7 separate regions of the Mus musculus genome follow, and regions 1, 3, 4, 5, 6 and 7 are each reported to be linked to region 2. Evidence: microRNA targets listed by miRTarBase, many of them from high-throughput screens and not tested one by one. Region 2 holds a microRNA gene; each other region holds the end of a gene's coding sequence.

Region 1 (4,078 bases), not on the chromosome of region 2:
TGGCAAGGCTAGCTGGCCAGTTGTCTCCACGGATACACTTGTCTCTGTCCCCCCTCAACACAATGCTGAAGTTATACATGCACCCCTCCACACAGGGCTTTTACATGGGTGCTAGTGATCCAAACTCAGATCCCCGTGACCACAGGAGAGGCAATTCACTGACTGAGCCATGTTCCTGGCCCAAATGTTTGCTCTTCATATGTTATTCTACTCTGTACCCCTACCTTATGCATCTTCATCATCTGTGTGTGTGTGAGTGTGAGTGTGTGAGTGAGTGTGAGTGTGTATGTGAGTGTGTGTGTGAGTGTGAGTGTGTGTGTGTGAGTGTGTGTGTGTGTGAGTGTGAGTGAGTGTGTGTGTGTGTGTGTGTGTGTGTGTGTGTGTGTGTGTTTTGAAATAGGGTTTCTCTGTGTAGGCCTGGCAGTCCTGGAATTCACTTAGTAGACCAGGCTAGCTTTAATCATAGAGGTTGTCTCTGCTTCTACCTCCTGACTGCTGAGAATAACACTACCTGGCTTCATCCTAACTCTTTATTCCTTCCGTACCTTCCACATTTACTTTTGAGTTTTAATGACTACATTGGACTTTCTAGAAGAAACTAAAAGCAGTTAATTACTTAATCATTATAATGATTTCTTCATCAGACTTTAAAATCCACAAATTCTTTTTCTTGTTATCTAAGTTTTTCTATGTAAATAATTTATTATATGTTTAAGCTCTGGGATTTCTAGTCTCTTTTCATCCAGACATGTAGTGTAGTTTGTAAGTTTCCATCTGCCTGCTAAAGTATCTGACCTTAATCAATGCTATCTTCACAAACTGTTGATCTCTGGTTTGTATGGGTGGCATCAACATTTAGAGTCTTCCATCATTGTCATTCTTTTTTGTTTGTGCTGCTTTGTGTCTCTGTTGCCATGCCAGCTCACCCAAACAGTTATCTTTGATTATTCTCTGGATGTTATACTTGAAAAGCAGATTGTAATAATGGTCTGAGGCTTCAGGTTACCTCCCCTACCCTGGACAGACATGAATTTAGTTTGTATCTGCAGGCACCCACAGAAAGCAGATCTAAATCTAGGGTTGGAAACTGGGTTTGTCCAAAGACTGCAGAACAGCTGTGAGCTTTTGATGCATACTCTGGGGCTCATGCAAAAGCAGAGGAGGAAAATGGGAGTCCTACACTTGGAAGGACAAATTGTTTCCCTTTGCCTTAAGAGTGATACAATCTCCGTTCTCATTACCTCCTCTGGACTGGCAAATGCTGCTGAGAACAGTGGATGGATTTGCCCCTGAATTTGCAGTTTCTCTTGAATCTTGCAGTAATTCCTCCTATCTTATAGCATCTCATTACTGACTGCTTGCTTTCTTGATGTTATAGTTGTCCTAGGGGTTGGTTTCACACACACACACACACACACACACACACACACATACACACACACACATGCTATATACACACACATATATAAATACTTGCTATATATATATTATATATATTATATATATTCATAGGGATATATACATATTTACATATGTTTACATAATAGCTGAATTAAAATCTAGTCTATGATCTGTGACTTAAAAATATGTTTGACCTTTAACAACTTACTTCTAGTTTCCTCTCAGACAAAATGGAGTTGAGCAGAGTTGCTTAGACACTTGGAATTCAGTTTCTGGATGATGAACACCATGTAGGATGAAAACAGTGGGTTTTGCTGGAGGAATGTGTGAGTTACCTTGTCATTGCCATGACAAGCACCTTAGATAGTAACCAGCCTATGAAGAGCAAAGAAGGACTTGGTCTCAATCTCAGACTCCTGTCGGTGATGACTTGGGCTGGGAGGGATGGCAATGGCAAGGAGCAGAAAGTAAACCCAAATAGCTCATGTGGAGACAGAACAGAAGAAAGAAGGGACTGGGCCATACATCCCCTCCAGGAACACATCTCATAATGATGGCTTTTCTTGAGTCCCTCCCTACCTCCACACCTCTTAAAAGACTCACCATTTCCCAGTAACACTATATTGGGGCAAAACTATTAAGACATGGGCCTCTGGGGAACATTCCATTTTCAAACTAAATGAAGTAACACGAAGGAGGGGCTGCAGAGACCATGCCTGCTGCTTTTGTACTACAGCTAGGATAACCTGGATACAGTAAGCACTGGTATTCAGTCTGGGAATAGGGCAAAAGGGAAAAAAGTTTCCTGGTATTCTGTGAAAGGTCTTTGCTTCAACCAGTTGAGTCTTCACCACATCTGTATTGTCAGGCCAGTTATCTTAGTGAATGTAGCCTTAACTTGCCTGAGACCAGGGAGAAAGAGGATGGACATCATCTGCCTTACAAATTCTAAAAAATCTTAGGTTTGTTACAATCTACCAATCTTGAGGAATTTTGAAGAGTAGAATCTCAAGACCCATCCAAAGGAGTGCATCGGACAAAGGGTCATATCAACCCAAGAGTCCCCATCCCAAATTCCTTCACATTGCACAAAGCCATCTTATCACCATAGCTACCTGAGTAATGGGGGTCAAGAGGCTTTATCAAGAAATCCAGAGTAGCTGATTAATGAGAACACTAACTGTACAGGGCAGAATCATGGAGAAGGTATGTCTTCACAAGAAGGAGATCCTTCAGTTGTATTTGTTCCTATGGCATATCTGCTTTTAACCCTGGTTTCAACAGCCAGAGATGCCTTCTATTGTGGCTTCCAAAACTCTGTAAAAGAAATAGCATTGTTTCATTTCACAAATCACAAAAGAACATAGACAGTAATTGTTACTTTGGATCCATTAATTTTATTAGTGCTTTATTACTTTTGGTTTTCTTTCTTCCCCTTCCTTCCTTCCTTCCTTCCTTCCTTCCTTCCTTCCTTCCCCCCTTCCTCCGTCCCTCCCTCCCCTCCCCCTCTTTCTTTCTTTCTTTCTTTCTTTCTTTCTTTCTTTCTTTCTTTCTTTCTTTCTCTCTCTCTCTCTCTCTCTCTCTCTCTCTCTCTCTCTCTCCTTCTTTCTTCTTGTCTTACTCTAGTTTTAGACTGAGAAAAAACTGATTTAGGAAAAGCTACATATTTTCATGCCTGTCAGTACTGTAGGTCAATTGTACAGGTTACCTTATGGTCAGAAAACTATATCTATTTTGTCCTTTGGACTTTAAACATGACATTGTTGACAGTGACAACAGCATTTTTTTTTCAGTGTAAAAACAAAATAGACACACCCATGCCAAAAGACATGGATATAAAAAGCCAATGGAGTTGTGCTCTTTCTTACAAAATAAAGTCAAGTTTGATTCTGATAGAGGTTTTATGGTCAAGGGCAAGTGAAAATAATCACTATTAAAATCTCAGGTAATGAAACTCTAAGCTCTGCCTTGTATCTCTAAAGTCTCCTTCTTCTATGGGGAACAAACCCTGCCAAGGAAGAGCACATGAGCCGTGGGATTGTGCCGAATGAAGAAAAGGAATGGATGGTCCACCGTGAATTCCATGGGCATCAGGCAGCATCCAACAACAGTGCCTGGCATGGCAGCATCTGTCTCTGTTCCCTCCTCATTCACTTCCACATAGGACTTGTGAACAATTTTTGATATGAAAAGATCTCTGGATCCCGACATGCCAGAGAGATCAGCTTTGCTGCTGCTAAAGAGATCCTGCACTCCCAGTTGGCCCAGGTTAGAGTTGAGGATGTAGCTCTCTTCCATCTTGAATTTGGGCAATTTGACACAGACATCAATGTTTTGTAAGTTCTCACATTCTTGCAGTTTTTCCAAAGTTAATTGTTTCTCAATCTGGAATTAATGTAAGGCAGAAAGCAGTTAATTTATTACTGTAATGAGGTACTATTCCAATGAACTGACTCATAATTGCCACATCTCAAAGGTTTTATTCATGTGTTCTACTCAAACAGGTTCCACATAGATTTAATTTTATATGTCCGCTGATGGAATATAGCACCATTATTTTCCATGTCTTTGAGGGTTCAAGTACATTTTTTAAAAACAATACATCTATCATCTATTTATCCACATATCTGTTTATCAGTACATATATCCATTCACCCATCCATCCACCCATGATCCA
Region 2 (4,078 bases):
TTCCTGTGCTGAGAAGTTTCCTTATCAGGTAACACTACAGATCCTCCAAGTCAGTTAAATCCACGGCCACTTTCAAGAACAGTGTGTCGTCTTTAATGTAGGTGTTCTTGGAGTTCTCCAGAGTAGAGTGCGACACAAAGCGGGGACAGCCAGAGGCAATGTTCATCTCGCCATCTGGCCTTTTGAAGCTGCTGCTGTTGGGGTCAGCTTTGAAGGTCTCCACAATATGGTTCTTCTTGCCGCTCTGGTCCAAAAGCATCAGGGTCACCCTCTGCCTGAACGGCCACTGCAGCAGCGAGTCAAACTCACCGCGCATCACCACAAAGTACAGGGACAGGTGCGTTCCCTTCCCCGACCCGTCCCCGTTCAGGTACGCCCTGGCACAGAGCCGGTAGCCGCAGCGGCTGGTGTAGAAAGGCTGGCTGAAGACGGACACTGTGTGCCCCTCCACGGCCTCCCTCTTCTTCACCCTGTAATCTGTCACCTTCCAGATGAGCTTGCCACTGTAGCAGGCGCCCTCCAGCTGCTTAAACCGCTCTTCGTTCTTATTCAGCTGTGCTTTGTGGATATTAATGTGTGCGTCGTGCTTGCTGGTCTCCCCCTCTAAAAGAACTGGAAGGAAACACAGGACAGGAGGCTGCAGCTCGGGCCTGTCATCTGAGCACTACCTGTGAACTACTACATGCATTGCTAACATTAACTCAATCGTGGTAAGCTGACGCCAAGCAGACATGGATGTATCCTCCCTCTTCACTCTCAGCTTGCCTGAGTATAAGACACATTGGACATTCACCTCGAGTGAATTCTCATGCTGAGCCTTGTGCCCGTCTAACTGTGTGTGTTTGTGTGTGTGTGCATGCATGCACACGAGTGTGCTTGTGATGTAAGTGTCTGTGCATACTTGCATGTGTTTGGCTGTGAGGTGCTTGTGGCATACAGAGGCCAGAGGTTGATACTGAGTGTCTTCCCCAGTAGTATTTCAGTCTTTTGATGTAGTTCTCTCACTGAATTAAACCCTGATATTCTGGCTAGCTTGTCCTGGAGATCCTGTGTCAGCCTCCAGAGTGCTAGGACCACAGGTAGCCCTCCAGTCCACTCAGCAATCACATGGCTACAAGGATCCAAATTCTAGGTCATGTGTGCAGCAAGTGTGTTATCTACTGAGCCATCTCCCCAACTCCTATAATGAATTTTACATTTAAAAGACTTATTATGGGGGCTGGAGAGATGGCTCAGCAGTTAAGAGCACTGACTGCTCTTCTAGAGGCCCTGAGTTCAAATCCCAGGAACCACATGGTGGCTCACAACCATCTGTAATCAGATCTGATTCCCTCTTCTGGTGTGTCTGAAGAGAGCAACAGTGTACTCACATACATAAAACAAATAAATAAATATCTTTATAAAGTCTTATTATTATTGTTATTGTTGTTACTGTTGGTGGTGCGTGCGTGCGTGCGTGCGTGCGTGCGTGCGTGTGTGTGTGTGTGTGTGTGTGTGTGTAAGTGAAGGCATGTACACCATAGTATACATGTGAAGGTCATAGAACAACTTTCAATAGTTGGTTCTTTCTCTCCACTGTGTGGGTTCCAGAGATCAAACTCTGGGTGTTATAGTTTCAATGAGTTGTGTGTCCTAAGTCCTAAGCATTGGAATACTTGGTCCCCAGTTGGTGGGTTGTTTGGGGAGGATTAGGAGGTGTGGTCTTATTGGAGGAGGTGTGGTCTTGTTGGAGGTGTGGTCTTGTTGGAGGAGGTGTGGTCTTGCTGGAGGAGGTGTGGTCTTGTTGGAGGAGGTGTGGTCTTGTTGGAGGAAGTGTGGTCTAGTTGGAGGAGGTGTGGTCTTGTTGGAGGAGGTGTGTCACTGGGCTTGGGGTTTCAGCAGCTGCTCCAGTGCCATGCCTGCCTGCCTGCTGTTTCTCTATGAGATGGTGGTAAATTCTTATTTCTCTGCAATCATAAGCCCAAATAACACTTCCTCCTACAAGTTACCTTGGTCATGGTGCTTTGTCACAGCAACAGAGAAGCCACTGATACACTGGTCATCTCGATTGCATAGCAAATCACCTGCTAAGCAATCTCACTGGCCCCAGTGCACCAAAGCCTAAGACACCCATCACCTCTCTCCCTTGTTCTTAATGATTACCACTCCCAGCTCTTGGGACTGCCTGGGCCATTTCAGTCTCGTCTGACTCCACACACATGGTGGAGACCCTCATTTTCTGAGGCAGCTAGAATCTCATGCTGCTTCACAAACAGGATTCAGCCACTGGGCAACCCAGAAAGCTGGTTGTGACTTGTTAGCTTCTACCACAAATGCACACAGACAGGGAAGCCATGAGAGGGAACCCGACTGCTTCATACACACACACACACACACACACACACACACACACACACACGTACCTAATCTCTGGTCACTGGCTTCCAGCTGGGTGATCCTCTGTTTCACGCTGTCAACCGCATCCACCAAAGACCTCAGATCAAGTCGACTTGGCTGCTGGTTAACTATTTGTAGCAGCTGCCGCACCTGCGCTTCCAGCCAAGCTGACTTGTCCGTGTGACTGGTGAGAGCCTTGCGGTACAAAAAAGAGAATATGTCTTGGAAACGAGACATCGGATTTGTAGCGTGTTGACTGAATTTTAACACAAACATTTCACATAGAATGATCCACTCATGAAATGGAAGTGGCAGTGTCCAGAGAGGGGGTTCAGTGGACATGGCAGAGTCAGCAGCTGCCATCTTCTTCTTCCTTTCCAGGCTGGACTCCTCTGGTGAATTTCTGAGCTTTCCCCGATGTGTCTAAAGTCTCCCCTCCATGTATTCACATGCACTTTGTGGCCCTCTTGCCTTAGCCTTGCTTCCCTCAGAAGAAAGTTTCCTTTCTGTAAGGAGGTCAAGATTGGGCAGGAGCAGGCAGAGCCTACACACTCTATGGATCTTTCACATGGAGGATATTAATCTGTCTGCCTTGCCCATATAGTCTTAATTCCACCCTATTGCTCTCTGTTTAGGAAAATGTCAGAACTAATAGTGTGATAGGTTCCTTTTTTTTTCCTAGACATACTAACACATACATATACATATGTGCACACACATCTGCACATACGTGCCCAGCACATGTAGAACAGGTGCATACATGTATGTATATATGTATATGCTGTGGTGAAGAAGAATAAAGCTTCTATGGCCTAGATTTCCTGGAACAATACACATTTCAAACACATTGCCCATGTTATATGTCTTTAAATCACTACAAATCTGGTCATGAGAGAACTTTTATTTGTTAGGGGTCCATTTGTGGTTAGTTAACATTCAGGATTCATCGAGTGATGTTTAAGGCATGCCCTTCCCAAAGGGAATTAATGATTTTACACACATACCATGGAAGTATGGTATAAACGTTGCATTTACCAGCATGGGTATAGATATACTCATGTACGAGACAGTGTTACTGTCAGCTGCAGAGGGCCACACACATGCGGTATTCTCTCTGGTGGTCCTTGGCCACACCCAGAAGAGACAAGGGTGCCAGAAACAGAGCAAATGGGACGAAGTGCTGAATGGGATGTGGGAGAGCTGCACTGGTGCCCCTGGCATCACCCACGTCTGGTGGCTTTTCTATGCATTTGAAATGGTTTTCATGTTAAAAGCTAAGAAGAAAACCCCTTGCTGCTCACTAAAAGCTGATCATAGCTTTGAATGGAAAAAGCCATATCTCACCCGGATGTTCTTTCTTTTCTTTAAAAGATTTATAGTTAGGCTCATTCATCTTATTTGATGTGAATGTTTTGCCTGCATGTATGTCTGTGAACTTCATATGTGCTTGGTGTCCGCAAAGGTCAAAGTTGGGTATTGGATCCCTGGAACTGGAGTTATGGATGGTTGTGAACTCCCTACCATGTATGTGCTGGGAATTGAACCTAGGTCCGCTGCAGGAGCAGCGAGTGCTCTTAACTGCTGAGCTATCTCTCCAGCCCTTCTCTTCTTATTCTTCTTCTTTTTTTAAAAAGATTTTATTTATTTATTATATATAAGTACACTGTAGCTGTCTTCAGACACACCAGAAGAGAGCATCAGA
Region 3 (4,000 bases), not on the chromosome of region 2:
GGATACAGGAAATGGAACCACTTCTGCCTACAGTAATTTCCCAGACAAGCTCTTCATTCCTGTCACTCCATGCCCGTTCCTGCTCCCCAACATAGCATCCTTGAGGTAGAACTGCCCATGCTGTTGCCTCTGCAGTACAGTTTGGGGTGTCAGGGATTGGTGTTTGCGGGAGGCTTCTAGAAGAGCCCATTGAGCCCAGGTAGGCTGTTTTCTAGATCCCCTGGTTTTCCTACCTCTGAGCTGCTTTGTCATCCAGGCCAAACCACCCACTCTTACCTGCCCACTAGTCTTTTAGGGTTCTGAGGATAAGCTGTGTTATGTACCCTGCATAGCCTCAAGCTAATGACGCCCAAAGTGTTGGGATTACAAGCCTACACTAGTATTCCAGCTCCATTCTTGATTGGTTTCCTCAATTGGGGAACTATAGAGACAGCTGAGCTCCAGAGTCACCAGGATAGTCATTCTTAGTGAATAGAGTGATCAGGGTCTCCCCAGGCCTTCATCCCACTGGCAAATATGACTCCTGGCCATCAGCTTGCCCTAGTCCTCAGCCAAGGACACTGGCCTGTTGCATTCTTCCTCCCAAGCAGCTGTTGATATTCATCCCATTCTCTATCTATCTCTGTCTTGGCCTCTCTCCTCTCCAGGCTTCCTGCCCAAAGGCCTCCAAAGGTGTCTCACTGGCCTTGTTATAAAATCCCAACTCTGGAAGGCTGAGGGTGTGACTCGGTTGCAGACCTAGCATGTGAGAAGCCCCGAGTTTAAGCTCGAGCGTTCTATAAAGTAGGCACGGTGGTACATGCCTGTAACCCCAGCACTCAGGAGGGTTAGAAGTTCAGGGCCATCCCTGGTTTCACAGGGAACTTGATGCCAACCTGAGCTACATAAGACATTGTCTCATAATAAGGGGCAGGGTCAAACTCTGGAGTCTCTAAACAGCCACGGAAGGAGGAACTTTGGGGATAGGTGTGCACGTATGCACACACAGATGTGCAGGTGTGGTATATGGGGTCAGGAGGTGGGGCAGGGAGTTAGGATCTGAACTCCTTGGTCTCTATGCTGCTCTGGACTTTCCACCCAGCAACTGTGTGGCAGAAAGGGGCATTTTATGTACACATCCCTTGTTCTTTTTTCATTTCTAAATCCTTTTTTAAAATTAGGCTTGGGTGCCGGGTAGAAGGCAGTAAAAGACAAAAAAGTGAAGTCTCAGAAGAGCACGAAGAAGACAAAGGTTTAACTTGAAGTTAGGAAACAGAGCCCAAGGCCAGGTGGTGGTGGTGCACACCTTAATCCTAGCACTTGGGAGGCAGAAGCAGGCAGATTTCTGAGTTCAAGGCCGGTCTGGTCTACAGAGTGAGTTCCAGGACAGCCAGGACTGCACAGAAAAACCCTGTCTCGAAAAACAAAACAAAACAGAAGAAAAAGCCGGGCGTGGTGGCGTGCGTGCCTTTAATCCCAGCACTCGGGGGGGGGGGGGGCGGGGGGGGGGCAGAGGCAGGCGGATTTCTGAGTTTGAGGCCAACCTGGTCTACAAAGTGAGGTCCAGGACAGCCAGAGCTACACAGAGAAACCCTGTCTTAAAAGACAGAAGAAAAAGAAAGAAAAAAAAAAAGAAAGAAACATCTCTCCAACCCCTGAAGATTTTTTAATTGTGTGTGTGTTCATGTGGGTACAAGGGCCTGAAGCAGAACCCTAGCCAGGCTAACCTGGGACTCACTAATTAGCTCAGGCTGGCCTCATAGGGAACCACCTGCCAAGTAAGTGCTGGGATCATAGATGTGCCGCCACCGCCACCACCAGGTCGGTAGATGACTTTCTAGCACATTTGGTGCACACATCTATAGTCCCAGCACTCGGGAGTCAGAAGCATCTGGATGGAGAGTCATGAGTTCAAAGCCAGCCTGAGCTACACAGTGAGATTGCCTCAAAAAAACAAAAAAGCAAGAGCCAGGATGTAGCTCAGTGGTAGACCTTTCCTCAGGGCCTTGGTTATATCCGCACTGCCACAAAAATCAATCAGAAAACTAGGGTTTCTGAGTATGTGTGATACAGAAGTAAGTTCATTGGCCAAGCCCCCCACCTCAAATAAACTTTGAAGGTTGAATTTAGTAACAATGTAAGTTGGAAATCCTGGGGCAGGGGAAGTGGGGAAACCCAGATTGTCTGTTTGCTTTTGTTTTTGTGTGGGGGTGGGGGTGTCTCAATATGTAGCTCATGCTGACTTCCAAATTGAAGCAATCCTCCTGCCTCAACATCCTGAATACCGCATGGTATGTAAAAAGTCTGAATCTTATAGGTGTCAGTCTCCGTGGAAACAAGGGTGAAGATCTCAACAGAAAAGGGGTGGGGGGTGGGGGTGGAGGAGAGCTTGGCTGTCTTGGAGCACACTCTGTAGACTAGGCTGGCCTGTAACAAACAGATCCACCTGACTCTGCCTCCAATGCTAGATAGCATTAAAGGCACACTCTGTAGACCAGGCTGGCCTGTAACAAACAGAGATCCACCTGACTCTGCCTCCAGTGCTAAATAGGATTAAAGGCGTGCACCACCACCTGGCTGAAATTTTAATTTTCTAATTCAGGTACACGGTAGATGTTTTAAGCACATACTTAGATCACACACACACAAAAACAAAAACCAAACCTAATGTATATGATGGTTCACCAAACCCCCGGTTATCCTTCACTAACAGGACAGGTAGCAACCCCTTCCTCTCACCTTCCTCAAGGCCCTACCCGAACCCTGCCTGTCTCTCCACTCCCTACTCTACCTGGCTCACTATTCCACTGAAGGTGACTAACCCCAACCAGGTCTAGACCTCAGCATCTCCGCAAGTCTGTAAAAGAGTTACATTTTATTATCGCTGCAGACAAGGTGCTTCGGTCCCACGATGAGTATATGCCAAGGGCGGGGAAAATCGTGCATCCTGCTCCCGACAGTTTTTGTAGCACCTTGAGCTAGGTTTCAGAAGGTCCGGGTACTTAGAGGGTCTTTGCAGCAAGTCCTCTTTTTGTATGATCATCAGTGATTTACCCCTGCGCTGCTTGCCTGGCTCCTGGGGGGCGGGGGGAGGGGCAGTTAGTTGCACTCCAGCAGCTCAGCTAGGTGGGGCGTGCGTATGCTCTCCAAGTCCAGTAGATGGAAAGTGGTCAGCAGTAGCAACATCAGCGGTAAAAAAATACCCCAACAGCCACCCGTGGGTTTCAAACACTGAACTGCTGGTTGGCCGCCCTTCCCCACAGTACTAGACTTAGGCCAGGCCGCCATCCGGCTCCGCCTGGCCCAACAGATCCTCTGCTAGACTAGTGAGTTCGTTCTCCTCCAGCGCCTCCACCAGGCGCTGCAGTGTGGCACGGCGGCCCTCGGCTTGCATGAAACGGCGCAGCAGCTGGAAGGCCTGCTCGTATAGCCCATCACGCTCATACTCGTAGGCCAGCGAGTCGAGGGCAGGATCTCTCAGTGCCCGACAGTTACGCTGCAGCGAGCGCCCCACCCTGCGCCACTTGAGACCCACCGAGCGCGCAAACGTCTGCTGGTCTTGAAGAGTCAGTGGCCGGTTCACTGCAGAAGAAGTGAGCAAGAGGTGAGTGAGCACCGGTTCCCTGGAGCCCGCACCCTTCCGCACCTGCCTTCGGATACCTGGGCCCAGCCCTGCTCAGATCGACCTGCTGGTGACCCCCCGCTTCTGCTGATGAACCTCACCTACGAGCTGCCCGTGGAACAGAAAAGTCTGGCAGGCGGCCGGCAGTGGTTTCTCCTCGGTCGGAGAGGAAACCGGGAACTTCGAACCTGCAGAAGCTACCTGTATGGCTCCACCCTGGCCAGTGCAGTCACACGTCAGTTTGCAGAGCTCATCCTCCAGCTCCGCGAGTTCCTCGTCCCTGAGCCGGTCGGGCTGCACGAAGGGGTGCACAGTCAGTGCGGCTTTGGGCCGCGAATCCCCGCCCATCCCATCCTAACTACGGACGGCAGCACCTTCTGGGCTAAGATGTAATTCAAA
Region 4 (4,078 bases), not on the chromosome of region 2:
GACCTCGCCTCTTCACCGCCCTGGCTGGCTGGGGCTCAGAAGTCTTCACGTGAGTACAGTCCCCACTCCCCAGCTTGCCTCCCCTCTTCCTGCCGACCTGTCTCTGATTTCCGGTGTTCTCCCTCCAGGACTGGCCGGCACTGGTGGTGGGTACCCATTGTCTCCCCACTCCTGGGTTCCATCGCTGGTGTCTTCGTGTACCAGCTCATGATTGGTTGCCACCTGGAGCAGCCCCCACCCTCCACCGAGGAAGAGAATGTGAAGCTGGCCCACATGAAACACAAGGAGCAGATCTGAGTGGGCAGCAGCCCCCCTCCCCCACTGTGCACTCTCCTGAGTGTCCACTGACTGTGTGGGGACCAGTCCCCGAAAGCCCTTTGTGATGCCTCTCTCGGGCTAAACCGCTCCCTGTGTCCACCCCTGCTGGATGGGCCCTCCAGAATTTCTATGAACTCTGCCCATTAGGGCATTAGGTTCCCACCCACCTTTAAGCCAAGGTAGGATAGCAAATAAGATGGAGAGAGAGAGAGAGAGAGAGAGAGAGAGAGAGAGAGAGAGAGAATGAATGTGTACATGTGTGCTGTTTTCTAAGCTGAATGATGCAAAGGCAAGGGACCAAGTTTTCAAAACAAACTGTAGCAGCTCAGGGGAAGGGAGCCCAGGGGAAGGGAGAAAGTGAGTCAGGAATGTGCCAGAGTGTGCATGCTTCAGGGACTCCTCCATGTGGAGGTGGACCCAGAAGTGAGTTTCTAAGTATGCGTGTGCCTACTGTTTTTTTTTTTTTTTTTGAAATGGACTTCTAGGCTTGGGGAGGGGGAAGGGATAAGAAGGGTGTAGCTCACATCTGGAGCTATGACCCTTGACTGGGGGCTGTGTAATATGTTTCTGTTATAAGATAGACATTGGGAGGGGCTGAAGTCCAGGTCGTAAGTTTCATAATTTGTTTTTTAAATATATAAATATATACATACATATATGTTACAGCCCTAGGAATAGGGGTGGGAAACTCCACTTTTTAAAAGGGGTTTCCTTTCTTTAATCCTCCAATCAACAATGTACTGTTGCCTTTTATATATAAAAAAGAATAAAACGTATACATGCTACAGGAACTTCTTTTTGTGTGTGTTTTTTGTTTTCAAACAGGGTCTCTAGTCCTGGCTATCCTGGGACTCTGTATACCAGGCTGGCCTTGAACTCATGGATACCCCCCTGCTGACATTAAAAGCATGTGCCACCACACCAGAGTCTTGTTTTTCTGGGAATAGCATTCGAGCGTTGGTTTTATTTGGCCATAAATTTCCAGATGTTTAGTTCAGAGTCTAATCTTAGCTTGTATTCAGTGGTCTCAGATTCCATCCAATGGAGCATCTTCCGAATCCTCCTGTCTCATCCCCTTCCACAAGGAGGAAGTTTGGAGCCCCTCTGGTAGGCAGAGCCACCCAGAGACTGGAGAGGCTAAGCCTATGGCTCAAAGAGGCCAGTCAGACTGGGGACCTGTATTGTCCTCTAGAGTTGCTAAATCTCCATCCAGACTCTTGGCTGTGGCACTCTTATCAGCCTCCCTCCAAGGAGTCAGTCCACACAGGTTCCTCAGGGTATCTTCCTGTGGATAGGTCTCTTTCCATGGTCCTCACCACATCTCCACAGTCCATCTGCATCGGGTTCTCTTGTAGCTGTCCTTACCCACCCTGTCACAACGGTCTCCCTTCACTCCTGGCTACTTTCTCTCTTTCCTATCCCTCTTCTAGGAAATGGGTTACTCCTATTCTTCATCTTCCAACCTAAAAGCCACTTGCCTGGATCAAGAACCTCTCCTGTTGCCTTCTGGGACATGTCCGTGCCCAGTAAGGCAAGGGTTATGTGACTAGCCTGGCACACCTGAGCCCAGGAAGTGCGCCTCATTTCCAGCTTCCTTAATACATCTGACTTAAATTTCACCAGGAATATAAGGGAAACCTTTCTGCAGCGTTAACCCTGTAGGAGCCAGGAGATCCCCGGCCTGCATAATTATGCCCTTAAGGCTCTTGCTCAGTAGCCCCTTCACAGATGAGACCCATGCCCAGAAAGGGTGACCTGCAAGTTCAGGCCACAGAACTAGGGTTGTGAAAGGAGTCCCTGGGACAAGACAATTCCTTCGTGGATCTCCACCCTTTCCTTATTCCCAACTTCCAAGAGGCATCTCTGGAATGCTGGAGAGACCTGAGCCAGAGGGAGTGTCCCTTTCCCAGACCCCGAGGGGGAAGAACGTTAACCTTGAGAGCAGAAGGTGCCTGTGAAGTTTCCTTCAGTGTACCAAGCAGTTTCATTCAGCCACACCAGTTCCCCCTTGGCCCCCATCCAAGACCCTGCCTCAGCATCCTTCTTTTCAGCCAATGGGGAGCAGGAAGCTTGAGATGCCATCACTATAGGGTAGTGTCCATCACAGCTACTAGGTGTGTTTGTGTGCCTTCTCTGGACCTTAGTTTCTTTATCTGTGACACTCGGGTTAATAAAAATGGTAAATAGGCAGAGATGATTCATAGAAAGGGCTTAACGTAGGCTGGCGAGATGCCTCAGTGGGTAATGGCACCTGCCGTCCAGTCTGGCAAGCTAAGTCTGATCTCTGGAACCCAAAGACTAGAAGAAAGAACCAATTCTCCAGAAAGTTGTCCTCTGAACGCCACACTTGCACTCTGGCCTGCTGATACATATACATACACGCGCGACAGTAAATGTAATTCAGAATGTAAGTGAGCTAAGCAGTGACCAGGAAACAAATAATAAATGGGGGCTCATGATGGCTTTACCTGCAGAACCAGGATGGGGCAGGAAAGAAGGAGTGGAGGTGGGGAGCTGTTTTGTAAAGACCATTGGATTTAACGAGCACCTTTCGTCTCAGATCCATCCACAAGTGTGGATTTACTGAAAGGGGAGTGAGGAAGTGGGGTGGTGGCTTGCCCCGCTGTGTCCTGACCCTACGAGGCTCTTGGGTTGGGTAGTAAGGAATTGGTATAAGAAAGGCAAGACAGAGGGAGCCACGAGTGTGTGGGGTGGAGGACGGAACATGAGCTAGGCAGCCACTCTGGGACTCCTCCAGATAAGGAGTTCCCCTTTAATCCTCCACTTGGAATAGGCAAAGTCGTGACTATTACCAAATTCTGGAAGGAAAATTCCTTACTTCCTATAAGAAAGCTTCTCCATTTCACAGAATTTATTTTCAGGGAAGCCGGAGGAGGGGGGAGGGAATTGTCCCACGGTGTGGCTGCTTTGTCCCAGGGCTTGCCAAGGGCTTTTTATGTGTCTGTACCAAGCCCTCACCACAACCATTTTAAAGAGCCAGTTTTCTTCTCTCTGTCTGTCTGGTCCCGTCCCCCCCCCCCCCGCTTCATTTTTCGAGACAGGGCTTCTCTATTTAGCTCCTGGAACTCACTCTATAGACAAGACTGTCCTGGAACTCATATAGATCTGCCTGTCGCTGCCTCCAGAGTGCTGGGATTAAAGGTGTGTGCTACCACTGCCTGGCTGGAGCCATGTTTCTTAAAGCCGATGATTTGCACCAGTGAAATCAGCTCCCTGAAACATGAGCTGTTTGGATACCTGGCCCTGTGTCTGTGCACACAGGGTGCACACAGCCCTGTGTTTCTCAGGGCTCCTTGTGGGCCTGTTTTTCTCTCACAATGTTGGGCTGTCTGAATCTCTAGTTTTCTTCATCTTTGGCTTTCTCTGTGTGTTACCGCCTAAGTCTTCATTTACCTCTTAAGAGGCATCTCTGTATGTACCCTGAGTCCATTTCTCTGTGCCCTTGGACTGTACCTCTAAGTGCAAGTAACACCAGCCAACCATCTCTGCTCCAGGGCATGTCTTCTGAATTCCTGGTAATGAGCTCTGGCTTGCTGCTAACTCTTATAGATTTTGTTTTTTTTTTTTTTTCTGAAAAACCTGGGTGGGGCATCCACAAGCTTGGAGAAACTTGGGTGAGGTAGAGTTGGGTGGGGTGGGAAGGCAAGAAGAAGGCCAACTCCACCCAGTATAGAAACGCTAGAGCAGGAGTTCTCAATCTGTGGGTCGTGACCTCTATGAGGCTACATTGTGCACACCT
Region 5 (4,078 bases), not on the chromosome of region 2:
GGGTGTTGTGGAGAGCTCGAGCCGTCGCCGTAAATGAAGAGGCATTAGTCCCCAAACCTACTCTTTTCTGTCCTTTGCAGCTTAGGAGTTAATCCTGGTAACATGTTCTTAAATGTCAAGCTGCCAGAAACATCCCTGCAGAGGCTCACTGGTTTTGCTACAATGTAGCCAGAAGCATTAGTCTGATGAATTCATCTATCACTTCAGGCAGTCTCAAAGTTCACCACTCACTGTGCTGAAAGACTTTATATAAATCATACCTGTCCCATTGACCCTGCTTAGAATGAACTCGGCACCTGCCAGTCTTCTTCTGTCCGAGACACTACAGCCACTCGGCTCACAGGGAGGACAGTACTCCTGAGCACAGCACTACAGCCACTCGGCTCACAGGGAGGACAGTACTCCTGAGTAGGCTCACCCAGACTTTGGCTACAACGTGAGCATATGCTTCTGAGCTCTTTGGAGCTGTGGTGAACCTGGGACTCTCCCCATCTAGAAACAGGACCTACTTCTAACACTGCTCTTGGAGGCAAGCTCCTGAACTCTGATCTTACTGTGGGGTTTACCAGGATCTAGATCCAGCCAGGTCTCTTCCTTTCTGGACAGTACAGATCTTGGTGATCTAACCTTTCACTCCCCTGAACTGTGTTCCTTTCATAGCAGGTCTGTATACTCACTAGCTTACTCCATCCCTAGGACCTGTTAACTCCAGCACCTGGAGGCAGAAGCAGGGAGACCAACAGTTTACAATCATCCTTGGCTACTTAGCGTATTTGAGGCCAGCCTGTGCTATATAAGACCTTGTCATAAAATACACAGACATGTACACTCTGTATTTTAAATAAACGATAGTCATTTAACAGCATTCAGGGTTCTACTTCTCTGCAAACAACCAGGAAATATTTTACACTCTAATGTTCAAAGTGAGCAAGATAACTTTTATAAATATGTTCAAAGCATCAAAAAGGAAATGAAAATGGCTTGTTTTTTGATGCTGGTGGTAAATTAGGCTTTGGTTCTAAATTTGATTCCTTCAAATATCAGCAATCAAAATCAGTTTTAATGTTCGATTTAGGAAGAGATCAACCCTAAGAGAAAGGCAGCAGCAGACTCCAGCGCAATCGCATTTTAAAATGGCTACTGAAAAGTAGGCTCCTGTTCGCTTCTGTGGGACAAACACAAATCAGAAGAGAACTCGAAGATTAGCTAACGCGTATGTAAAGCTCCTGAACCAGTTAGGTCCACACTGTGACCTTACAGTCAGTCAGAGGGCAGAGACTTTCCAAACACTCAGCTAAAATTCTTTTTCTACTCTGGTGTTGAATGGATTATACAGTTATCTTAAACAAGTGCTTTAGAAAGAGAGGTGTGTGTGTGTGTGTGTGTGTGTGTGTGTGTGTGTGTGTGTGTGTGTGTGTGTGTGATGGAGTTTAGAAGAGGGTTAGATTGCCTGAAGCTAAAGTTGCAGGTGGCTGTGAGCTGCCTAATGTGGGTGCTGGGAACTGAACTTGGGTCCTCCGCAAGAGTAGCAAGTGCTCTTAACTCCTGAACACCCCTCCTGCCCCACTGACCGTGTACCTGCCTACCAGTCTGTCTCTGAGTATTAAACATCTCTAACCGGCTTAATTCCAACATGCCTGAGGAAAGGGCAAGAGGGATTTTCAAAAATGGCTAGGATACTGTGATTTTTTCAATTATTCATAAAGCTAGGGAGACAAAAGAACAAGCCAGCAGCAGTCAACATTTGCAGAACTCTAGGACAGAGTCCAGTGTGGATTTTATCAACATAACCACCAGAAATGCACATTTTCTACCCTGAAGCTTTTACTGGAAACATGGAAAGCTATTTCCCACACAGGCAAGCAGGCGTGCTCTGTCACTAGGAGAACCACAGGGGCAGCTCCTGGAGTTCGCACGTGTAAAATGTCTGAAAGCATTCCACCTCACTAGGTTCCTTACACAGAGTGCTTCCCATAAATATTTTAAATTGTTTTGCACGTAAGAACAGGCTAAAAATGATTTTACACTTCAGAAACTGTTACTTTAATAACTTGGCTAAATGTTTTAATCTCATGTGAGTCCTCTATTCCGCACTTGGGAGAACTTTTCTTACCTGTTGAAGTCCTTTTCTGAAGAAACTACTCAACTCCTAACCTGCAGCCAGCTCCTGAGAATGACACCCCAGTACATCTAGGGCCCTGTGAAGGCTCCAAGTCCTGCATTAAAAGTGGTCACTGGCATCAATATTTATCATATGCCAACAGGATGCGTGGCCATAAGCATCAACACTGCTTTCCCATCTGCAAAGTAATGATGGATGTCCTTTTGGAAGCACCCCATCACCTCTGTACTCATCCATAAACAGCCACTTCTATAAAGAAAGACTGCCTAAGATGCCCCAGTGGTGGGAGGGTGGCATTTCTTAAGGGGAACTGTCGTTCATTCTTTTTTTTTTTTTTACGATCTCTCCTTGAATGTGCACCACAAGCCCATTCACAGTGCTGTTAGGAAGCTGCTGAGCCAATACTCTGCTTTCTCTGACAACTCTGCCACTGGTGTTCAGAGATGCCAACTCAGCAAGGATTCCCGGGGGGGGGGGGGGGGGGGGGACAAGAATAAGTCAAAGGTGAGACAGGGCGTAACAGCAGACAAGTTCTCAAAGACAAAGACAGAGATGAAGAGAGACAAAGACTTCCACTGCCATTCTGGTTTTAAACTCTTTCTTTACCCACTTATTCTAAATAAAAAGGGAAGACTTAAGACATTAGATATTTACAATATGGGTTCTATACAATAGTATCAGGCTGGTTGTGAGGTCAGATTCTCTTATGAGACTATGGCACGGTTCTTGCATGAAGGAAAGGAAAAATGATGATTTCTAACTATCAGCAAGAGATCTTACTGTTTGGGGAGCAAAATCCTAACAGAGACACAGCAGCAGGGTCCGTAGGCCCTTGTGCTTTTCCAGCCTCTGTACCAGCAGCGCTGCCTCCTTTCTTCGTCCCCTCTCTAGAGCTGCAGTGTGTGTCAGGCAAAGCCCGGCGTTACCTCGCTCTGCATCCTGAAGGACAGAGTTCAGATATATAGTTCCTAAAGTAAGGCACTTAAGTTGGGGGCTGCTTTACAGTTCCATTCCATTTATACTGTACCCCAAGAATGCTATCTGCATAAGCCGGAAGCCATAACATTTACTTCTTTTTGATTCTACCCAACCAAAAGCTCATGAGACTATCGAAAGGCTAGCTTCAAAGAACTATTTCAAGTGTGCATGGCTTTCTCCTTTCACAGTAGAAAACGTTCCACATTGAAACAGGCAAGACACTATTCTTCCTTTTATTAACTTGCCCAGTTACCAGGAAGATGCAGATTAACTTTCTCAGTCACCAGAGAGACTCAGACCGTTGACAACACACACCCCTTTCTGATTCTGAGAGTCTTCTGCAAAGGCTACTGCTTCAGACAGACTGTAGAAGAGAAGGGTTTCCTCTTCCTTTTTGCAATATTCTCCTCTGGCCAAGGAATCCCTCACAGAAGGATTGCACTGCGCCAGTAAAACCTGGATCCCAACGGCTTCATAATCCCGGCGAACTTCTTTCAGTGTGTGGATTCCTGCTGTGTCTAAAAACTGTATGGCACTACAGTCGATCACGATAGTGTGCACCTCCAAGGGATCATGGGAAAGCTGCATTGAAACTTCATCCGGGTCCCCACGAAAGGTCACCATTTCTTCTTTGAGTTTTCTCTTTGCTGCCTTTTTCCAAGCTGCCTTTACCAAGACTGGGTTAAGAGCTTTCTTGTACAAAGCTGATTTAAAGCACTCTTTGTTTATGTAGTAGAGAGGGGCTATGAAGCGGAAAACCTTGATGCCGGACTTGCTCCGAAGGTTCTTGTAAGTGGAAATGGATTCAAAGGTTTCAGATTCTTCTTCTAAACCAAGCAGTGAATTCTTTGGCTTCTGAGTACGGAGGATCACACAGAACATTGAAAAACAAACCCCAACCAGCAGGCCTATTTCAGTGCTTAACAGAGCGGAGGACAGCATAGTCACAAACCAGATAACTGTATCCATTCTGCTTAG
Region 6 (4,078 bases), not on the chromosome of region 2:
AAGGTCTCAATTTTAAAATACCTTATAAAAATCACCAGTCTTGGTGGCTTTTAACTTCTTCCCTAAAACTTTAAGAAATAATATTTAGGTGGAAAAAGCAAACTCCAAAAGTTCAACTCAGCATTCAAGTCTTTAAAGATGTCTGTCTGAGCTTAAACTAGGTTCAGGCACTTTCAGTGTGTTTTGTTTGTTTCCTCATTAGTTTTAAACCACATCATATACTAATAACACGGGTGTGCTCAGAGAGCAAGCGGGCAAGTGGGAACACTCACTGCCCCCTTCTCTCTCTCCTCTCTCTCATACACACACACACACACACACACACACACACACACACACTCACACACTCACTAAACAAGGAAAAGCAGTGTGTCACTTAGCTCCATGTAGTCTATTTGGAAATCAGGCAGCAGAGACGCCGTGCCCGCTTCATCTGTATAAAACCACTCCCAAGACACTAAAAGGGACAGCGACTCCCACACAACAGAGGCATCCCTTAACTGTAAAGGAGGCAGGTTCTAAACTACTGGCTTGGCAGTGAACCACTTCAAATTATAAAAAGGTATTTATTTTTATTAATTAATAAATAAATACTAGATGATCTCAATTGTACCAAAACAGGATATCAGAAAAAAAGACCTGTGCAAAAATACTTATTTAAATATGTACAATTCATTTTTAACAAAATATGTCTTCTGAAATAGGGATACTTCCATATTTATAATAGAACAAGAAATTCCAAAATAAAGATACAAAAGTAGGTTTTTTTATAATTCTTTGTTCATCATTGCAGCACTTTTATTTTATTTTTTATTTTTTATTTTATTTTTTGTAGTTTAAGAAAACTGCAGAAGCTGTTATGAATTCTATTGGAAAGAATATAAAAAATTATGGTGGTTTTAAATTGACACCGAACGAAGTCTGTCTAGAAATAACCCAAGCACTGCAAATTTGTTTTTTGCAAGTTAAGATTAAATTCAAAAAAATATTTGTACTCCCATATTTTAAATGGTCTTAATTGTTCATCATCATAAAAAGTAGTTGTCAGAGAAAATAAAATATTTGAACAGTCTAAACTTTAGTAGCACTGTTTAGAATATGTCTGTTTGTGGCAGGCAAAATCCAAAAAATGGCTTTTCCTAATCCGGAGGCTCTGTGTGTTTCCTGGAGATATAATGAAGTTCAATTAAAGTCCCAGTCTAAGGAATCAAATTATAACACTCATTAACCTAAGTATCTACTTTATTCTGAATAAACTTCCTATTGTGGCTCCTATTCACATCTTTTGGAACATCTGTCTATAAATTCCATCATTAAAAGCAACTTTGTTTATAACCATCAAGTCCCGGCTCTGAAAATAAATCTTCCCCATACCCCATTGCACTTGTCATCGAGTAATGACTGTGTGAGCTTGGATTCCCTCTCCTCCTTGCCCAGCACTAGGAGAGACAACCAGATGAGCCTCCTAACTTCCACACTGGCCCATCTGGGCTCTCTCCTCAGAGCTGCTCTAGTATCATCTTTAAAACAAACATTCACTGACTGACTGCATAATAAGTGAATAAGATTTTGTTTTCCCTTCCTTAAAAAATTCAACATTTCCATTAATTTACAGTTAAAGTATCTGCATAAAGTCTTTGTGTTCTTACATAATAAGAGTAAATGTAGCAATTCACATTATTAGGCTGGTAACCAAGTATGTATTCATTCTACCTGCTGTTGACTGAAATTCCCTGAATCTCAAGTTTGTAATCTAAGAACTGTAGAGAAAGGCTATGCCCAGACACTGGCCAGGACAGGGCTAGGAGCCTTGGGGGCTGTCCTGTAGGCCACTCTGCTGTACTCTTCCTAAGCCCGAGGACTCGGTCCTCTGAGCAGGAGGTGTTACAGTGGCCGGCCCTAAATCATGCCCAAGTTCACTGGCAGACGTCTTTTCAAGCAATGTGTTAACACATTAAACATTCTTTGGGAGTGGGGCACTGAGAAATCTTAAGGAGGGCGTTAAGCCTCACTAAAGGAAGACAGATGGCTGTCACTGTCACAACAGAGAAGGGTGAGCACTAGTAAACACCCCCCCTTCTGCGAGCTGCTTCTCTCCGTGGCACGCACCCTTTCTCGGGGATCCCCACCTCAGCCCACCTGCATTCAAACAACCAGCGACTGGACTGGCAGGAAGCCGGGACAGACACACGGCAGGCAGCAGGCCTGGAAGCACAGACTCACACTTACTTCTTCAAACACTAAGTCAAAGAGGAAGTGGGAGTAATGCCTTGGAAATTTTAAGGACATGATAATAACTTTTAAAAAGGCAAATCTCAAAAAGCAGACCGAGTAAGACAATGACCCAATCTGACACACTGATCAACACAATCACAGCAGCGAGACAAGTCAGGCTCTTTGGAAATCCTACAAATTTTGCCTCACTTGAAAATTTTCTCACCTCCCTGAATCCAGTGTCCCAGTTGGCTTTTCATCACCAACTGCTTTCCTTGTCTCTCTTTCCATTTTTCTTTTCTTCATTCTTCCTTTTTCTTTCTCTCTTTCTATCACACATGCTTTTGTACCATAAAAACTAAGCTTCTGAGATCCTTTAAACTTAATATCCAGGCGTCAGCAGCTTCGAGCCAGTCCTCACGTCTGAAGAACTTGATAAGCTTCTCATCCCAAATTAACTGAAAAGGTGCGGGGCTACTATGTCATGACGCACTGACCAACAAACATCTCAGTGTACTATTCCTCAACAGCGCTATAAAACTCTAAAGCCAGGTATCCTCTAGGAGGCTCTCAGGATGCAGCTCACTCCCCTTTCCTTGGAGGCCTTCAGTCTCCAGTTAAGGTGCCTACCTTCTGGAGCCTGACTGACAGATGGCAAAGAAAAAGGAAGGCAAGGCTACAGAAATGATCCTCCCCAGCCAATCTACTTCAAGAGTGACTCCATGATATGCTCCAAATGAAAAAACAAAACAAAACACAATACAAACACAAACTTCTCACGGATTGGGAGCAAGCAGTCCAGACCACTTTAACACTGAGAGCAATCCGGTGGCTGAGGTGATCCAGTGTTCTTTACCTGTACTCACTGCTACAGACACAGCTTCGGGAAATCCTTGTCAAACAGCCAGAGGTTACCCTGAAGGCCCACAGGAGTTAGAAAAAGAGACTCAAAGGCATCGTGGAGTCCAGAGTGCTGAGCAGAGGCGTAGCTTGTCTTCAAAAATGTCTGGATTATTCCTTCCAGTGGTACTGTCAGCTGTCAGGGTCGTGCCTTTGGCTTTCAAAACAGAGGGATGAGGAGATACATAAGTAAGTGGCTGGATGCAGTGCTCCCGACTCTACACCAGGGTATCATCCCGTACCTAAGCTCCCTGACCTGCTGGGGTCGGGGAAAGCCATTACAGGACCAGCCTGAAGCTTTGTTTTTCAAAAAACAAAAACAAAACCAAAAACAAACGGGCAACAAGAGGCCGCTGTGTGGAGGTCTAGCCCTCCGGTTTCCTTCTAATCTAAGGTGGAATTTTTTGTTTGTTTTCATTTTTTAAACTTGTGTCCTTGAAGGTATTCTAGGCTGTTAATTCAGAAAACTCGATGTGCTAACACACAGGTCTGGAGGTCTAAACCCAAGGCACTGCTTACAGCATAGGGAGAGAACTCTGGCCTTCCCACGGGGTAATTTAAAATCTAGAAGCCAAGCAAGAACGGATTTGCAGGCCAGGGAGGGGCTACACACTGCTATGTTGTGGGCTCTGTACTTCACTTCTCTGTTCAGAGACTAGCCAATCCAAGCACAAGTATCCTCCACAAGAGATAGCAAACTTGTGATTTCTACTTCTCTACAAAAAGTGTTTATTTTGTTTTCTGACAGGGTCTCTCTGTGTAGCCCTGAGAGACCTGCTTGCTTCTGTCTCTAGAATGCTGGGATTTAATACATGTGCCATCATGCCGTTTTAGGGATAGCATTCTTTAAAGTACTTTTAAGTCATGAGTTCTGAGATTTGTATGCAGCTGTAAGATTCCTCCCACTGACAGATAAAGTTGAAAAACAGCTTGTAAGGTTCACATATGTCCTCTGATTGGAAGC
Region 7 (4,078 bases), not on the chromosome of region 2:
AGTGTAAGGAGGAGATAGCAAGAGGCACAAAGGAAAAGACCAAAGTACTATCTGGAGAGGACTCTGAGGAGAAGGAGGAGCTGAGATACTTGCTGTCCTCAGGAGGAGGGGAATCGTCTGGGGCAGGAGATCCATCGTGGAAACCAGTGGATCTTCATGGGAATGAAATCCTGTCAGGGGATGGAGGACCTGGAGGAACAGGGCAGGCTATGCATGGGCCTGTGAAGCTAGGAGGGACACCCCCTGCAGATGGGAAGTGCTTTGCTTGCTTGTGTGGAAAACGGTTTGCAGTAAAGCCGAAACGAGACCGACACATCATGTTGACGTTCAGCCTTCGCCCTTTTGGATGTGGCATCTGTAATAAACGTTTCAAGTTGAAGCATCATCTAACAGAGCACATGAAGACCCATGCGAGAGCTCTGCATGCGTGTCCCCATTGTGGCCGTCGATTCCGTGTCCAGGCCTTCTTCCTTCGCCACCGGGACTTATGCAAGGGCCAGGGCTGGCCCACTTACCACTGGACTTACAAATGACTACTGGTGCTCTCTAGTGATTTCTAGGACAAGATAGCCCCTGCTGCTGCTGGACTCTTACCTTCACCACCTCAGTCCTGGATTGTATAATCATTCCAAGAGATTATATATATTGTCATGAACCCCTTACTCTTGGGTATGGGTCTCACCCTGGTAGTCCAGGTTTAGACAGACTTTAGAAAATCATGCTTCTGGTCACTTAACCTAAATGGCCCTTTTTGTATTGATAGCCAGTGAAGGAACTGCTGAGCTCAGATTAATGAGAGAGGAGTTGGGGCATAGTCACCCAGTAACTCTTAACTTCATCTTCATGGGGGGGAGAGGGAGCTGGTCTCCAACTAGGAATGCATTTGATTCAGAGCTCAAGTAATTGCCAGACTAAGGTCTGAGCGGCTTCTCCCTCCCTGTTAGCAGTATTCTGTTTCTGTACTTTCTGTCATTTTCCAGATGCTTTTTAGGTTCTCACCAGTATACACCTTTCCCAAATATCCTTTTAAAAATACTTGAGTGGGGCTGGAGAGATGGCTCAGTTATTAAAAGCACTCTGCTCTTCTAGAAGTCCTGAGTTCAATTCCCAGCAACCACATGGTGGCTCACAACCATCTAAAATGGATCTGATGCCCTCTTCTGGCATGCAGGCATACATGCAGACAGAGCATTCATACATTTAAGAAAAATGTATTTGAACATGCAACAAGTGTGGTGCACACATTTAATTACAACACAGAGGAGGCAGAGGCAGGTGGATCTCTTCTAAGTTCAAGGCCAGCCAGGGCTACACATGGTGAGACCCTATCTTTAGGGGTAAAAATAGTACTTGAGCACTTTAGCAAACTGAGCATTTCATATTCTATTCTGAAAGTCCATAGTAGAGTGTATTCCCTCAGCAGCCTTCACCTTGTCCGCCTTTCACTACCACTGATAACTTGCTTATGATCACAATGACAGATATGACCCACGAACTCAGGAGATGGCAGGTGACCTACAAAGCTCTCAGGGTGGCATTTGCTCTCTGAGCAGATCGCCCTGCTTAGAGGAACTCAGGGTTGAAACCACACGTGGTGAAGTCTGCAGAGGAGCTACAATGGGACCGTACTGCTTTCTTCACCCACACTTGGTAGAGGTAGAGGGGTAGATAGTAGAATGGAGGTGAAGGGAAATTTAAGGTTGTTAATAAACTCTGCCCTGAAATCTAAACTGACAGTAGACTGGCTTGAGTGAGTGCTGTGGAGATGCAGAGCTGAGCTGCAGGAGAGCTGAGCTGCAGGAGATGAGTGTGTTCCTTTCCCAGCCAGTTACATCAATGGGAGAAGAGTGAGCTGGTATCAGAGACTTGACATGGAGAGTGCTATCCTGGACTCGGGCAGGCCCTGCTGCTGCTGAGGACCCTCAGGTGAGTTACTTTATGTCTCAGAGTCTGACCTGCTGCTACTGCTTGGTTCTCTGTCTTGGTTTGTCGAGATCTCGTCTTACTATATAGCCCAGACTGGCCACAAACTCAGGATCCTCCTTCCTCAGCCTGTGTAATACTAGGATTACAAGCACATATTGACATGTCAGGTTTATGTCCACTTTTTGAAAGGCTTTGGGTCACATAATATTAGCTTAAATTATTTCCTAATTTCTGGCAGTATGCATAATGTTAGATGGCACTTTGATTTATTCTATAAATACTTAGAACAGAGCAGTGTGCGAGCCCCTGGTTTTCCCTCATTGGAACAATGTCTCAGTGAGTAAGAGTACTCAGTGCTCAAACATGAAGACCTGAGTTCAGATCCTAGCACTCACGGAAAAAAACCCAGGTTTTGGGCTGAACAGAGGGTTCCACGGGCACCTACTGACAAGCCTGACATCTTGAGTTTGCTCCCCAGAACCCACATGGTGGAAGGAGAGAACCTGCTGGGGGCAGCAGGGCAGCCTGCACAGGAGAGGAGTGGGGGAGAGGAGGGAGGGAGTCAGGCATGGGTGGTCCATGTGGTTCACAGCTCTTGACTGACTAGCAATCAGGTGCCTCTTTATTTATATAGGTTTCACAGAACACAGACAGATTTAATGATTATCCAAGAAGTACAGATTGTGTGTTTGATTTTTCATTACATGTCCAGGGCTACAAGCTCAGTCACCATTAGAAAACACAAACAGAACAGATTTTAATAAATCTATTTATTTATTTTGGTTTTCCAATACAGGGTTTCTCTGTATCCCCCTGGCTGTCCTGGAACTCTGTACACTAGGCTGACCTTGAGCTCAGAGCTCCACCTGCCTCTGCCTCCCAAGTGCTAGAATTAAAAGGTGTGGGTCATCATCACCTAGTGTCTTGGGTTTTTTGTTTTGTTTTGTTTGATTGGTTTGATTGGTTTGGTGCTGGAGATTGAATCCAAAACCTCACGTTTGGAATTACGAATCTCACAAGTGAGCTACAAACCCAGCTGAGTCTTGATCTTGTGGCACTGGACTGAAAATAAGTTTCTCAGGCTTAGATTTTTCAAAACTTACTTTAATAAGGTTTCTTACACACTTTAACCTCCCTTCTAGCCCACCACCACTAGAGGGAGAGGAAAGGTTAACAGGGCAAAGGAGGGACGTGGGCCTGTTTAGAAATAGTTCTTGCCAGGCGGTGGTGGCGCACACCTCTAATCCCAGCACTTGGGAGGCAGAGGCAGGCGGATTTCTGAGTTCTAGACCAGCCTGGTCTACAGAGTGAGTTCCAGGACAGCCAGGGCTACACAGAGAAACCCTGTCTTGAAAACCAAAAAAAAAAAAAAAAAAAAAAAAAAACCCGAAAGCAAAAGAAATCAATCGTTCTTTTGGGCAATTCCATTCTTCATTATCAGGATATTGCCAGTTCAGTTCATAGGGAGCAGCAGCAGCAGCAGGAGCTCGATCCACTCACAAACACCATTCATGAATCAACAATGACAGTTTGATCCAGAAGAAACCATGAGGCTCTGCCAATCACCCTGAGTCCATGGAATGCGGCAAGAATTACCAGAAGTTCTTTGGTGTGTTTCTACAAACTCATAACAAACAATGGTCAGCAAAGAAGGCAAGGCTAACCAATGCCTCAACATGGTCAGTGAAGACCAGCATCAGCAAAGCCCAATAAAGACCAGCAAAGAGTGGCAAGGTGAGCCAATGCCACACAGTCATCTGTGGCCTGTTGGGTTATTTCTACCCTTTCCAAACATGGGTTTCTCTGTGTAGCCCTGCCTGTCCTGGAACTCACTTTGTAGACCAGGCTGGCCTCAAACTCAGAAATCCGCCTGCCTCTGCCTCCCGAGTGACATGTGTCCTCTTAAGTATCTGCTCTAGCAAAACACATGCCCTTTTCCCAGTCAGCTTCCAGAAAAACACCACATGTCCTCGGCAAAACCCTTCCACATAAGACAGTTTCCAGAAAAACATCACATGACACAACTGAGCCGCCAAAGAAACCAGAACTTTCCACTTTAGGCATGGGTTGAGGATGTGAGTTAGTGGTAGATGCTTGCCTAGCAAGTACAAAAGGTCCACAAAATAAGTAAATCTCAATAAGCCTTCAGGTT

What was found. The annotated mature microRNA mmu-miR-3473c reads UCUCUCCAGCCCCCAUAAUAAG and lies in region 2 at 1,207-1,228, opposite strand. An mRNA with a match to its seed (bases 2 to 7 or 8) in the 3' UTR can be bound and repressed. Matches are read on the target gene's strand: a 7mer-m8 pairs with bases 2 to 8, a 7mer-A1 pairs with bases 2 to 7 and ends in A, and an 8mer does both.
Region 1: the mRNA of Serpinb1c is a reported target of mmu-miR-3473c. Seed matches in the 3' UTR shown: 7mer-A1 at 2,997-3,003.
Region 3: miRTarBase lists Tradd as a target of mmu-miR-3473c. Seed matches in the 3' UTR shown: 7mer-m8 at 3,122-3,128.
Region 4: the mRNA of Aqp3 is a reported target of mmu-miR-3473c. Seed matches in the 3' UTR shown: 8mer at 516-523.
Region 5: the mRNA of Slc26a2 is a reported target of mmu-miR-3473c. Seed matches in the 3' UTR shown: 7mer-A1 at 2,464-2,470.
Region 6: miRTarBase lists Atxn7 as a target of mmu-miR-3473c. Seed matches in the 3' UTR shown: 7mer-A1 at 2,092-2,098, 7mer-A1 at 1,493-1,499 and 7mer-A1 at 285-291.
Region 7: the mRNA of Zbtb9 is a reported target of mmu-miR-3473c. Seed matches in the 3' UTR shown: 8mer at 1,048-1,055.

The regions. Positions count from the first base shown.
Region 1 is chr13:32,878,440-32,882,517 of GRCm38, forward strand. Serpinb1c (serine (or cysteine) peptidase inhibitor, clade B, member 1c) reads right to left here. Exons shown (of 7, transcript NM_173051.2): 7 at 2,958-3,786. The coding sequence ends at 3,394. Among named protein-coding and RNA genes, the nearest start is that of Gm35899, 15 kb to the left of the region's middle.
Region 2 is chr1:191,997,396-192,001,473 of GRCm38, forward strand. Mir3473c (microRNA 3473c) reads right to left here and starts at 1,239; the gene lies at 1,159-1,239. Traf5 (TNF receptor-associated factor 5) reads right to left here. Exons shown (of 14, transcript NM_011633.2): 13 at 2,403-2,573; 14 at 1-612. The coding sequence ends at 35.
Region 3 is chr8:105,255,735-105,259,734 of GRCm38, forward strand. It overlaps Tradd (TNFRSF1A-associated via death domain), which reads right to left. Exons shown (of 5, transcript NM_001033161.2): 3 at 3,976-4,000; 4 at 3,703-3,895; 5 at 2,841-3,561. The coding sequence ends at 3,251. Among named protein-coding and RNA genes, the nearest start is that of B3gnt9, 2.6 kb to the left of the region's middle.
Region 4 is chr4:41,089,753-41,093,830 of GRCm38, reverse strand. Aqp3 (aquaporin 3) reads left to right here. Exons shown (of 6, transcript NM_016689.2): 5 at 1-49; 6 at 129-1,107. The coding sequence ends at 297. Among named protein-coding and RNA genes, the nearest start is that of Aqp3, 6.4 kb to the left of the region's middle.
Region 5 is chr18:61,194,762-61,198,839 of GRCm38, forward strand. It overlaps Slc26a2 (solute carrier family 26 (sulfate transporter), member 2), which reads right to left. Exons shown (of 4, transcript NM_007885.2): 4 at 2,093-4,078. The coding sequence ends at 3,377. Among named protein-coding and RNA genes, the nearest start is that of Gm52353, 6.9 kb to the right of the region's middle.
Region 6 is chr14:14,102,500-14,106,577 of GRCm38, reverse strand. It overlaps Atxn7 (ataxin 7), which reads right to left. Exons shown (of 12, transcript NM_139227.4): 12 at 1-3,271. The coding sequence ends at 3,254. Among named protein-coding and RNA genes, the nearest start is that of Psmd6, 16 kb to the left of the region's middle.
Region 7 is chr17:26,974,470-26,978,547 of GRCm38, forward strand. Zbtb9 (zinc finger and BTB domain containing 9) reads left to right here. Exons shown (of 2, transcript NM_001005916.2): 2 at 1-1,734. The coding sequence ends at 533. Among named protein-coding and RNA genes, the nearest start is that of Zbtb9, 3.3 kb to the left of the region's middle.